2 linked regions of the Astyanax mexicanus genome follow. The protein of the gene in region 2 interacts with the protein of the main gene of each other region in a pairwise test. Links are inferred from orthologs where the notes say so. Each region holds a gene or a part of one and is shown on either strand. Other genes may lie near its edges.

Evidence for each region. The genes of interacting proteins can lie anywhere in the genome.
Region 1: the proteins of creb3l1 (region 2) and slc35b4 interact in binary tests that used the Homo sapiens proteins (3 or more experiments, as listed by UniProt). The two-hybrid records come from large-scale screens. The link is inferred for Astyanax mexicanus from reciprocal best matches to the Homo sapiens genes CREB3L1 and SLC35B4.

Annotation. Positions count from the first base shown.
Region 1 is NC_064409.1:59,302,560-59,309,630, reverse strand, and holds the start of slc35b4 (UDP-xylose and UDP-N-acetylglucosamine transporter), read left to right. Parts: upstream 1-3,956; 5' UTR 3,957-4,098; coding exon 4,099-4,175; intron 4,176-4,439; coding exon 4,440-4,553; intron 4,554-5,357; coding exon 5,358-5,460; intron 5,461-5,571; coding exon 5,572-5,621; intron 5,622-5,821; coding exon 5,822-5,903; intron 5,904-6,691; coding exon 6,692-6,752; intron 6,753-6,957; coding exon 6,958-7,067; intron 7,068-7,071. Other genes in the region: golt1bb (golgi transport 1Bb), read right to left, coding at 55-136, 1,327-1,505, 2,360-2,451, 2,765-2,789. UniProt on the Homo sapiens protein: Antiporter that transports nucleotide sugars across the endoplasmic reticulum (ER) membrane in exchange for another nucleotide sugar.
Region 2 is NC_064430.1:14,608,873-14,616,138, reverse strand, and holds the start of creb3l1 (cyclic AMP-responsive element-binding protein 3-like protein 1), read right to left. Parts: upstream 3,117-7,266; 5' UTR 2,824-3,116; coding exon 2,722-2,823; intron 1-2,721.

The sequences.
Region 1 (7,071 bases), on a different chromosome or scaffold from region 2:
TAGATTTTGTCAATATGGTTCACTACAAGTAAACAATATCGATATAGTACTTACACCACTTATTCCAGGGAGATTGAGCAGTGATCCAAGAATTGGTATTCTTCTAATAAAGCCGACCGCGACTGGGAAAAAGCCCCTGAATAACACAAAGCAGGGATGTGTTAGTCCAGTTGCATACAGTATACGACAATGTAAACCTCTAAAATCACAACACTTACCATTTCTAAACGTCCTGAGCATAAAAGGCCAGTCATATGAGTGGGTCTGTTGCATGAGCCTCTCTTCCATTCAGAAGAGACAAAGGGGTGGATACAGTCCAGTACAGTATAGTTTTAAGATTTGGTGTACATTTTTTATTTTTTATTTTTTTATTTTTTCATTTTTGGCATTAATTTACCTTTTGTTGAAATTAAACACTTAAACACTCTTTTCTATAACAATTCACTGAATTATAGTTTGGTAGCAGCATTAGCAACTAAACTCCTATTCCTAAATACACAGTTCCCACAATACAATGCAAATCTGTGCATACTGTCTATTCTCTGTATGGCTGTGTGGATCAGGTGTAAGTGTGACAAAGCATGGTAAAATATCAAGTATGTTTTATGACTGGCCTTTTATGCTCAGGATATTTAGAAATGTAAGGGTTGTGATTTTAGAGGCAAAATGTTTATTCACAGAAGTATATAATTAAAGCTGTCTAAATTCAAAACATTGTCACCCATAAAATATTAAACATTTTACCTTGACCTTAACAGTAAACCCCGAAGTCACATTCTGTGCTTTAGAGGCTTCCAAATAATTTCCCTTTCCACACTAACTAAATAACTAAGTAACTAACTAAGTAACTAACTAACTACTTTAGGATAAGGTAAGTCAGTGCACAATTTGCTTTATACTCATTTATAAGGATTTGAGGTAGATCAAATACATTATTGGTTAGAGAAGCCTTCATGACTCCTGAAAACCAATTTGCTGGACTGATTATACTGGATGAACAGCACACACAGTACAACACAAATCAGTACCTATGGGTGTGGTTCTGATTTTCCAAAAACAAAAGTGCTTGCTCCTGGTGATGTAACCAAGTTCCATCCCTTGATTTAACACACATGTGCCCATATTCACAAACATTTGTTGAGCAAAATTTCTAATTTAGGATCTGGCCAATTAAATCACTGTAAATCAAAGAGGATTCCTAGATCTTAGATCAGTGATCCTACTGTGATAAGCTTTAGAAATCAGCACAGCTCCTCCTACACAGACTCCCAGACAAAGTTTATTTTTGAGAAGTGAGCCAGCAGGGTAGATCTGAAAAAAACCTACCTAAAGAGAAGGAAGAACCCATAAACCTCCAGGACCACGCCGATGATTGGCCACCCGATCAACACCACAAACACGCCACCCAGGAAGAAACCTGTAGCTTTCATTTTGTGCCGCTGGAAAAAGAATCTGAAGGTTCGTTCCAGTCCAATAACAAAGGAGAGGCCTGCTACAAACAAGATCTGAACACACATACACACAAAATTTAGCCTTTTCCAGAATATCAATAAACATCCACAATAATAATTTTAATAGGAAATATATTTGTACACAACCCTGATCCTAAATGACATTTATTCCTACATGTTAGTGGTCTCCTGCTCCAACACACAGCTTGATAAACAAGCTAAATCAGTGGTTCTCAAAACTTTTAAAAGCAATGTACCACCCATGATTAAACCAAAATGTTAAAGTACCACCTACTGGGGGCTACTGTGTGAGCTTTACCCACTCTGCAAAATGTTGATTATTGTTTCTTTTAAATGCAGTGAGATAACAGGAATGTGAGAAAATATAGTTAACTACAGAGTCTACATGACACCCCCTTGAACCTTAGGCTAATTATTTTGATTTTATTACTGATACATAAACTTTGAATAGTGGAGTTCCACAAGGTTCAGTTGAAGAGCCTATGAAACTATAAAGAACTGAAGTGTGAGCTTACATACAGGGCGTACCAGGTTAAGCAGTAAATAAAAAACAAACCTGGTGTTGTGACAATTTGAGGAAAATGTTTCAGATTTATTTAGAGTTATTAATATTTGTGTACATGCATCTGGTGTACCACCCTGAAATTCTTTGCATACCACCAGTGATACACGTACCCTAGTTTGAGAACCACTTAGCTAAATGGTTAGCTGGATCAGTTGTTGAGTATTGTGAACATAATAATCACTAGAACAGTGCAGGACTGATCCTGGGTCCTCCAGGATCTCCAGGTGCATGGTTGTGAAAAGCCACAGTGGTAGCTAGCTAAAGTTTGAGTTACACCCAAAAAATATCACTAGCTACATCTACTAAACACCCACGCACTCACATTCCCTATGGCCAGCAGAGCTTTATCAAAGAACAGGATCATCCCAAAGAAGAGGAAGAACACGCCGAAGCCCGTCAGACCCATCCCGATCTCTGCAGAGACAAAGAAAAGGGTTTCAGCACATGATCAGGACTACACAGACACACATATCAGCACACACTACCTGATGAATCCCCTCTGAAGAAGCAGGTTATGTGAGACTGTCGGAATAGCTGTCTGAATTAGAGAGAAGCTATAGTATCTGTATATATGGAGGAGGTGTGAATTAGCCCCGGAGCTGCTGCAGGCCCAGCCATCACCACTCATTCATTCAAACTGCCGCCCCCTGAACACTCCCAGCCCTGCGCCGCTATGTACACACACCACACCGCTCACTATCAGACAGACAGTAAAGGGCTCGCTCACTCTGGGAGTCCGTTAGGGAGATCATCTTCACTCTGTGAACTTTGTTTCCGCGCTGACTGATAGCTGATAGCGGAGGAAAGCGCCGCACCGACTGATTTCAGCTATCGCCACGTCTTCCGGAAGCACGCACAGACGCAACAGTGCCGAGGATGTGACAGAATAAAAGTCCCTCAGCCTCACAGACAGATGCTTTTCTTTTTTTCATTTTTTAATGTTTATTAAGATATTAACACCTTATATTCAGTGTTTTTTATTCTTTAAAAAAGAATACTAAATTTATGGAAACTACAAATAAAACACATGTTTTTTTTAAGTAAACAGTAAGTAAAAAATAAGGTGTTAAACAAACCAGAATATATATTATATATTTTACTTATTTATTCTGCTTAGATTAGACAGATTTAATTCTGAGTCAGACCAGGAGTCATACATTAATAAGAAGCAATGATTAAAAAAATTATAAATGTTCAATTAAACAATTTGTTAGAAATATTAATAATGGTTCAAATTATATTTTCATACTGATAATATGTAGCTAACTATATATTAAACAATAATTAAATAATTTGACTTAAACAAATAACTGTTCATATTATAGTTTTTATATGTTGATCAAATTGAACTTACTTTGTATTATTTTTTAAACATCTTTAAACATTTTTATTATTTTGATTCTTGAATTTTGATTCAGTTACACCCCTTTAGCCAGCAGTGTAAAGGTTAATCGTGTGAAGGTATTTAATCGTCAGTCAGTTTTTAATTACGCCACTTAATTATTGACAAAAGGAAAAATGAAAACATTTTTTAACAAATAAGATTTTATTATTTATATTTTCTTACTAATAGAATATATCTATGTGTTTGAATTGCCTTTATACATTGATTAATTTTGAGTACAATTAATGTAGTCTTTCAGAGCGAAATTACTGCGTTTTACGTTTATTGTATTTTAATATATATTTAACTATTTTAACTATTTAACTATAAGCTATATGATTATTCATTTTACTATTGAGAAACCTTTTTATGAATATTAATTTTTTTACTGATCACATGCTTGCGGCAGGAACACACCTCTTGCGCTAATTTTGTGGGAAATGTAGTTTTCTTTATTCCCGAGCGTGACGGTCATGCATAGTAAAGCACAGTGAGAAAGACTACAACACCCAGCCCTCCCTTATGTTTGAACTACAATGAAGCCGGGATACGTGTTCAGCGAGCAGTTCTCGTTTCATTGAAAAGCTCTGGTAGTGTATTTATCAATATGCTGTGGGTCGGTTTGGTTTAGCCAGTCAGTGTAACGCGGTGGGGAGCCTCGTTTGGAGTGTGTAAAGATGAATACGGCCTTTGCAGTGAGTTTGGTGTTTGCTGGGTGCTGCAGTAATGTTGTGTTTCTGGAACTTTTGGTGAGGTAAGTGTAACTTCTCTAAAGCTGCAGCTGTGGTTGGCTGCAGAAGCTCTCTGAGAGATTATTGTGGTGGAGGCTGTAGTGTCTTAATTACCACCTTGCTTCCAAATACAGCCATAAAGACTACAATAAGTGTTTAGCGTGTGTCTAATTATAACAGGCCTGTGTACTGAATGGAAGTGTTTTAGTAAGTTTGCTGTGAAGTTCCTCAATAACGTGACTTAATGTTAAGAGCCGATTTAACTCATGTGTGATTCGAAACTGCAGGAAATTCCCAGGATGTGGAAACATCGTCACGTTCGCCCAGTTTGCCTTTATTGCCCTTGAAGGCTTCGTCTTCCAAACGAATTTTGGACGCAAGAAACCTGCCATACCTATCAGGTATCAGACACATCAGCAAGAGCATGCCAGCTCTGTAAATGTCAGCTGCTGTACACATAGCTAGCACATGTAGTCTGTGTAGCTAGTCTGTGTAGTACAAATGATCCTGCCATGTAGTTAGTGAATGTTGTTTTAAAAAGTCCACTATATTCTCTTTATGTACACTGCCTGGCCAAAAAAATATTTTGCTTTTTTTTTTAGCTTTAATTGCGGCATGCATCCACTGTGGCATTGTTTCAATAAGCTTCTGCAATGTCACAAGATTTATTTCAATCCACTGTTGCATTAATTTTTCACCAAGATCTTGCAGCATTGATGATGGTAGAGTCTGACCGCTGCACAAATCCTTCTCCAGCACATCCCAAAGATTCTCAATGAGGTTAAGGTCTGGACTCTGATCTCATGCTCTCTGAACCACTCTTTCACAATTCCAGCCCCCTGAATCCTGGCATTGTCATCTTGGAATATGCTCGTGTCATCAGGGAAGAAAAAAATCCATTGATGGAATAACCAGGTCTATATTCAGTATATTCAGGTAGTCAGCTGATCTCATTCTTTCAGCACATACTGTTGCTGAACCTAAACCTGACCAACTGCAGCATTAACCCCACATCATTTACTTAGTTATCTCCAGGTAGTGATCCACTTTTTCTTTTGGCCACGCAGTGTATTATCTTATCAGAGCTGTATTGTTGTTAAATATCCTTTGATTGACTTGAATGACTCAGCCTAACACATGGTTTTATTGGTTTAAGCTTGGTTAAGTTGTCTGCTAGATATTTACTCTCTGTTTCACTTTTGCAGTAACTATGTGATAATGGTGACCATGTTCTTCACTGTAAGTGTGATCAACAACTACGCCCTGAACTTCAACATCGCAATGCCCCTGCACATGATCTTCAGATCTGTGAGTCATGTCTCTTGCATATCTTTTTTATAGACAGTAATCTAATTAATTGGTATATGTGTCTGGTTTATTAATTAATTTTATAATTGATGTAAATATCTTCCTTCTCAGGGCTCATTAATAGCCAACATGATATTGGGTATCATCATATTGAAAAAAAGGTTGGTTACATATACTGGATACATTTTCTTTACCCACCTAATCCAGTTTCAGCTTTATTTATTAATCATCTCATTAATTTAATTATTGGAACAATATGTGCAATGCTTTTATGTCTGTCGTTTTTACATGTAGGTAATTATACCATTTGATGCATTACAGTGTACTTTATTACTTATCAAATGATTTCTTTCTAATAAAGGTATTCAGCAAGCAAATACCTTTCCATAGTTCTGGTATCGATAGGCATTTTTATCTGCACGATCATGTCTGCAAAACAAGTGGTGAGTATTGCATACACTTCCATTCAGTTTTACACTGTTCCTCTTACACTGTGACTAAAATAAGTAAATGGTGCCCTAAACAGTAGTTTGAGTGTTGTTTTTTTATTTTGTTGCTGTTGTGCAATAAATCTAGATTTGTTTTATTATTTTTTCTTGGATTGTAATGTAAATCTTTTAATATTTATGCTTCCTTTAAGTCATGGTTTAATGATGAATGGATCAGTAAAAATAGAAATGCTCAAAGAATACTTTTATTCAAAGTGTAAATTTGCCATTATGAAAATGCAGTTTTTGCTTGACAGTGACAATATATCTTTGATGCTTTACCTTAAAAAAAACTTGTATGTCTGCACCTGTTCTGTTGTTTTATCCTTGTCTTGACAACCAGATTGTTTTTTTTTATGTGTAAAGTCAATCTAAAATACTTTGCTCGATTTTTAGTTAATGACTCTTATGAAGCATTGTTTCATAAGAGTTCTTGTTCAAAGTTCTTGTTTTTCTGTTGTCTTTAAATAAGTGTAGTTTAAATTTTGCTGTGTCTAAATTGTCTTCTGTTTTTTTTATGAAGTTTTACATTTTAATTATAATAGAAATCACATGTTTATATTTAATAATATAATGTTTTACCTCTCCCTGGCACAAACTCCACCTATCAATAAACAAAAATGAGCTAACTTAGCTTGCACTTCCTTAGCATGTTTCATTCAAAAATATGTTTAAAAAAACAAAAAAAAAACAAGTTAATTATATTATGGCAAGTAAATGTTGACTTTAATTCCGTTACACAGAGTGCACAAAAGGGTTCTACAGAAGAGGACGGAGTTTATACTTTCCTACAGTGGCTTGTAGGTAAGCACTTTGCGGTGAATTTTATTATTTTATTTATCATGAAATGCAGGCATAATGTAAGGATCAAATTATGTAAAAAGTGAAATATTAAGAGACATTGTTTTTGTTACAGATGTATTATTATTATTATTATTAATAACAACTTATTTATTTATGTATGGCATTTGCATGTTTTTGCTTGTAACATTTTCTGTATTTATGTAAGGTATTTGCATGCTGACATTTGCGCTGCTAATGTCGGCAAGAATGGGCATTTTTCAAGAGACTCTGTACAAGCAGTATGGAAAGCACTCTAAAGAGGCTCTCTTCTACAATGTAA
Region 2 (7,266 bases):
TTGCCACAGGAGAGACTGAGTCACGGTGCGAGTGGAGACACGGGGGGGCTCCTAATAGATCCCATGCAGATGGTATGGTGTCACTAAACTTCTCCATTGCTCATACTAACCCAGACTCCCCTGCACTGCTCCAGTTTCTAACATTCCAGACACCACAATAGCATCCAGCCTGGTCAATGATGGAGACCTTCTATACCCTCGAGATATAGAGAGAGATAAAGAAAGAGAAATAGATGATTTTGAAGAAGATGACACTCTTTTTTACTCAGGTTTAAAAAAAAAGTGCTTGTCAATGTATTGCTATGGTATCGGAGTCAATTGCTTAGGTGTAGTATAGTGTAGTATAGGTGGTGTTCAATGTAAAGGTGTTGCTCGCATGTTGCTTAGTAGTTGCTGAGGTGTTGCCATGGTATAGGAGTTAGCTTATCAGGGACTGCTACATTCTTGCTAATGTGGTGTTGTGGTATAGAGGCTGGTTGCTCAGGTGTTTCTAATTGGTTACCAATGTGCTGCTATGGTATAGAGGTGGGTTGCTTAGGAGTTGCTAAGTGGCTGCCAAGATGTTGTTACTGCAGCGGTTGCAATATGATTGCAAATGTGTTGCTAAGTGGTTGCTACGGTGTTGCTATTATATATTTGTTGGTTGGCAGTGGTTAAATACTAGGTGAACACTATGCATTGGTTGTTGTGCTGTAGCTTGAAATATGTGAACTGTAGAGAAGGTCACAAAAGGGGTGTGCATATTGTATTGTACGCAATAATATCACCAACATTTTTGAATTACGTGAACAATATTATACCCTAAAATATCATACTATATCACCCACCCTAATTATCACATCAGGGTACTACTTTTTTGCTGTTTTTAGCCAAAGAAAAATTCACACTGTTCTCATTTCCCATTATATATCTACTAGAGACAGATTCTATCTGTCCAATATCATTTATTTTACTTTAATCCTGGATATATGAAGATATTTGGAGTGCATTATTAGTATCATGACATTCTGGATTATTCTTCTGTTACAAATCTGATAAAATTCTTGTATTTTTTAATATCTCAGTTAGGGGTGTGCCCTATCATATTATATGCAATAGTAAAATTTAATTTTTATTTTGTTGCAGTAGTTTATTCTTGCAATATATATTTTTTAATCAGTGTTTTATCGCCATGAGTATCGTTATCGTTAAAATACCATAATATATAGTGAATGTTTTGGCCACGGCATGTTTGTGCAGATGCATATTTGGGAATTCTATTGCACTCATCCAAAAAACTTTTTGCAAGCACTTCTTTATATGAGATTTTTAAAACTAAAGGAGGACTAACAGCTCAAAAAAAAAAAAAACAGGGGAAATAATACTGAATCTAAAACATAGAAGATGTACCATTTTATCTTTGTTCTTTTTCATTTTAACTTACTTCTTAATACCTTAACATCTTGATTGTATAGTCTTTTCACATACAACAATGCTTTTACTTTGCAAAAGTAAAATAAATGATGAACATGAATGTGAATTCATGCATGAGTGTGATAAAGTCAAGTAAAGTAAAGTTTACTGTCTTTCACTTCTGTGGGGGGAGGGGGTTAGTTCCTGTGTTTATGGTATTGGTAAATAGCCTAAGTGTAGGGGGTTAGTATAGGAGCAGTTACCCAAACCAGGATTAAGCCTAGTCTTGGACTACACCGCAGTTTTAATGATTTTTCACTGAAAGGAAATTATAGGGCTTAATAACTTTATTGCAAATATAGCATATTCACTTAAAGCAATGCTTTCACATTGTAAAAGTAAAATAAATGATGAGCATAAATGGGAACTTATGCATGAGTGTGATATAAAGTCAAGTAAAGTAAAGTTCACTGTCTTTTACTTCTGACCCCCAACGCAGATGAGAGTAGCAACCTGCTGTCTGTCTGATTAAACAGAAAAAGAGAGCCTCATCATCAGCCGGATGCAAGAAGCAGGATGGGGGCGTATGATGTGGGCGTGTCAGAGGCAGACATGCCCAGCCCACGCCCCGCCCCCCTTTGCGCTCTTGCTTGCTTGTGCTCACACAGCTGAGCAAACTTCACAGCTGGAGAAAGTCTTGACTGTGTTTAGATTTCGTTAGCACAAAATTCGCCAGATAAACACAAGAATAAGCGCAAGTGTAAGGAGTGACGCAGGATATGTACACTGTGTGTGTGTGTGTGTGTTTGGGGGGGTTAGTTCCTGTGTTTATGGTATTGGTATTGGTACACAGACTTAATGTAGGGGGTTAGTTATCCAAACCAGGATTAAACCTAGTCTTGGATTACACAGCAGGTTGAATGATTTTTTTAAGATTTTTCACTGAAAGGAAAAAAAACATAGGGCTTTAAACTTTATTGGTAAACTGACTGTCACATAGGGTTTAATATAAATAAATCGAGACTAACGATTAGATGCACGCATACTTAGTTATATACTAAGTATATATAAACACATTGATACTGAAACTATTGCAAAGAAAAACAAACTGTCAGATTTAGCATGTAAATACCGGTTTCTTGTGAAACTGCAACTTTTTATCATGAACATACCGGTTTCACATAGTCACCAGCTGTTTCCCTCAGAGCACAAACACACCATCATAACCATCCAATTCACCATCAGTATATAGTCTGTTATATTAGCCTGCAGAAATGACAGGATAAACAGTGAAAGAAGAATTAATGAAAGTGAATTATCTCCACTCACCACATTGGTAAGGAAATCACTCTCATTCAGGTCCTCCAGGTCCAACAGGTTGGAATTGGGGAAAAGTTTGTCCGAGGCAAAACTGTCCAATATGGTGTCCATATTGGGGGTGAATGGACTCAATCTTCTGGAAAAATGTCAGATATCTCAAGTAGCAGCTCAGACAACAAAATCTAGGAGTGAAATGTGATCTGAAACTACAGCCGCAGCGTTTCTCTCTGTAGCCTCAGCCGCCTCTAAGCTAGTCTGACCTGTGCTGTCGCCTTCATCCGAGAGCCTGTGTGTGTGTGTATGAGTGTGTGTGAGTGTGTGTGTGACCGCAGCTGGCTGCTGGCTGCTTCTCTCACTCTGCAGAAATCGCGTTGACTTGGATTAAAGCTACACGCTCCTCAAGCTGCGTCTTCATTCATCAGCAGCTCGGAGGAGCGAGCGTGCTCTCATGAATATTCAAATACACCCCGCCCGCTAGGGCGCTCTAGCCACGCCCAATTAAAGAGCCATGAACACAAGTCCAGACCTTTATGATAAAAGCATGACATTTGATACAAGTATAGAAACAATTAGATATTGGACTTTTTTTAAATATTTTTTTCTCTAGAAGTCCTCTTAAGTTTATATGAACTCTAACTATGTATTTTCTAACTGTTTCCGTTGCTTCTGTGGTGGATCTATGTGTTTATTAACCTTTTTAGGGATGTCATTGTATATATATATATATATATATATATATATATATATATATATATATATATATATATATATATATATATATATATATATATATTTGCTGCTTCACCCCTGTTTAAACATATATATACATATATGTATAAACAGGGGTGAAGCAGCAAATTCTGGGTCCTGTACACTCTCAATGTCAGTGGGCCCCTATCCATGTCAGTACACAAGGAACGTGAACGAAAAAAAAAAAAATCAGGATTTTCATGGGCCCCTTTCCCTACTCAGGCCCTGGGTAGTCAGTTCCACTTTTCCCCCTTTTTTATTGATTTAATCATTTGAACTCAAAGATTATTATTATTAGTAGTAGTAGTAGTACTATTATTATTATCACTTGTTAATAACAAGGAACACATTTTGATGTACAAATGTTTATTGGTTTTGTTTTTTATAAAGTGTATATGTACACACCTATGCACACAAACACATTGAAATAGTTACTGAGGCCAAAAGATGTATGGTCATATCAGTAAATCACAGGTTAATGCAGTTCATTCATTGTTGCATTACTTCCTTTTGCACTCATTTCTTTTAATAATACAATACTGGGAGGAAAGAATGTTCATGATGTGCTCTGCACTGTTTAGTCGCCTAAAGCTGGTTTCTGGTTTCAGTTGCTTTAGTCTAGTAAACAAAAGTGAGAGGCTAATGTTCTACTGAGTATGAGTATCTGTGGTACTCACAAAGACACATTTTTGGGAAGCATCCCAGCCAATATGTTCATGTGAGGGTCAAATGGGTAAAATGTGGGCTATAGGTGCATTTCAGGTGGGTTTGTACTGTACATATGATGTTACAGGACCTTGATTTAATCCCACATGGGTCCCATCTAGGTCCTGTGTGTATTGTACAGCCCAGATAGGGCTGACGTTTAACTCCTCATGGTCCCATTTAGGGCTGCCACAAACGATTATTTTTATAGTCGACTAATCACCGATTATTTTTTATGATTAGTCGACTAATCGGATCATACGTTAATTGAATATAAAACACAGTTTATCGCAATAGAATGCAGCTGCTATTATACAACCAACATTAGATTTCAGCTATATGCTAACTAAAAATAAAAACAATTAAAATCATAGTTCATTAAACCTTTAATGAAATATGCAGCTTGTTGTAACAGACAATTATTTTACTGTTTAGCATAAAGTGTAAACAACTGTGTAAAATAAGGATAAGGCACTGGCATTTATGAAACATCTCAACCGTGAGGTTGTTTGAACTATTATGAAAAAAAAGTATATTAATAAAAAATGCCTCTCTGTCCAGATATTGTGTACATTACCGTACACAGGGCAGCGGTCTGCACAGATCTGATTGGCAGAGGAGAGCGTTTGGTGATTTTACACCACACATGACTGATCTGTGAGTTTACTGCACCGAAAAGCACTGAAAACAGAAGCCACTGTCAGAATGAAATCCTTCTCTGTAGTTTATCGGTTTGGGATGGCATTTGTGACAACGTCTGGGTCCGGATCCGGATCGCGGTCCGCCTATAAGTGACCTCTGTTTTAAAGCTATCAAGATGAGTAAGTTAAGTACTAAGTTAACGCTCTGTTTACGCTAATTTTAGCAGCTAAATAGCAATTTAGCTTCTTCGTCATTTAATCAGCCACAACATGCCTCCTTTTCAGGTGCTCGTGCATCGCGGTTGTGCTGCCGAGGAAGGCAAGTTCTTCATTGCAGATATTGCATTGCACGCGTTTCACTTTTATTTTCTTGGTGATCCCACACTTTTGAGTTCTGTAGCGGGGTAGCCATGAAACCAGAGCCTGTCTGTATAATGTCCTGAGATGTCGTCCACTACCTACCCCGGTTTCCACTACTGCGCATGTGCGTCCAGGACAGAAAGGCAGTCGCAGCAGTTTGGAGAGAAAAACAAAGAAAAAAAAAAACGACTAATCGACTATTAAATTAGTCGTCGACTATTTTAATAGTCGACATAATCGTGACTAGTCGACTAATCGTGGCAGCCCTAGTCCCATTACTGACATTCATCTGGGTCCCAGTTGGCCTATCAAACTTATTTCTTATGGGATTTATTTATTCTGGGATGATGATTGGCTTTAGCAATTGCGACGGTACCAACCATGCATCAGTTCCAATTCATATCCAGTCATATCCTAGATGGTGTCAACTTGCAGTAAAATTGTAAAATAATTTGGGTAATTACAAATCCTAATTTATACTGCCAGGTGGCATAATAAGTCTTGTAATCCATCCCTGCTTTGTTACGTAGTTATGTAACTCATGGATGCTGTTTTTTTTATTTAGGGATGATACTAGAAAGAGAGAGTGAGAGAAAAAAAGAGAGTAACAGTAGTAACTAAATAATAAAGGCACCAGTGTGTTTCCTCATATCACATATCTGCTCGCAGCTTCTACACTGAAACCATCGCGGAGCTGCTGTCCGACGCCTCTCTCAGGATGTTCCAATGATTCCTGATTCAGTCAGTGAAAGGATGACTCATCTCTCCATCCATTTATAGTGGTGGGCCAGGAATTTGATAAGCGTACTGAATCGGTTGATTCAGTACTCGCAATCAACCTCACAGCCCCTGCAATCAGGGCCTATTTCAGCCCCCCCAAGAGGTTAAAACCCTATTACGGTCGAATTGCACTACAGAACTGTAATAATGAGGAAATATGTCAGAGGATACCCGTTAAGAGAGGCGTTCCCATGCCCTATTGTGTGGGAAGTTATGTGAGCATTGGGCTAAGGTTGCAGTTAACACGGTTTTAAAAGCAGTAACAGGGTCACACCTGGATTGTACGTGTGTTAATACTGGTGTGTAACAGAACGCGGCCTGGGTCCCTGTAATCTGGGCCGTTAGAGAACAGGGCAGAAATGACCAGATGCCACAGCAGAAGTTTTTAGGATGTCTAGAAGAAGAAAGAATGTTGTTAGTAAACCTCAATTTCTTAATGTCATGGTGTTGGCTGATTGAACACATTAACAGTGTAGGCAGAGACCACAGGCGTCCCTCACTGGAGTGGTTTTAAAATTAATCCAGTTTTGCATTTACAGTGTAAACACAGCAGCAGCAGCAACAACAAACAATACTACTACTACTACTACTACTACTACTACTATTAGAGAGTTGCACAAGCAATAAGGGTTCAATACTAATGTAATTAAATAAGCTAGCACCAGGTTGGTATTGTATTTTGCTTACATTTGTCCTAATTTGTTTTTTTCTGAAATATATATGGGCTTAAACTGACATGCCAAAAGTTAAAGGACAGGGACTAGTGTTGTGTCCCATGTTTTGCCATGTCCCACAGAAGCTAAAGAATGTTACATTGACCTGTGGAATATGTACGTTGGGCCTCCTGCACTAAACGAGTTGCTTGTCTGTTTGCACGGACAGTTTTAGCCAGATTCCACCGGTCACAATCATTATGACCCACTGTGTTGTCCACTGTGGGTGGTAATGTTTTCTGAATAATTAATGGTGTTGGTTTTAATGCGATATTAATGATCTTCTTAGTCAAATTAATTAACTATACATAACTCTTGGGAGTATATGTTACAGCTCCAGAAAAATCAAGCTCAAGAGAAGCTTGCCAAGAAGCATGAAAGCTGTGATTAAGAATAAGGGTTATTCCACCAAATATTGATTTCTGTACACTTAAAACAGTAGCATTGTGGTTTCGAATATGAACTTGTTTCTTTGCATTATTCGAGAAATTCTACATGATGCCCTCATGTTATTAAGAAAATTTAAATGTATTTATAAAGTGCTTTTTACAACTGATGTTGTTGCAAAGCAGCTTTACAGACATGTGGTAGTAGAACAGAGAATC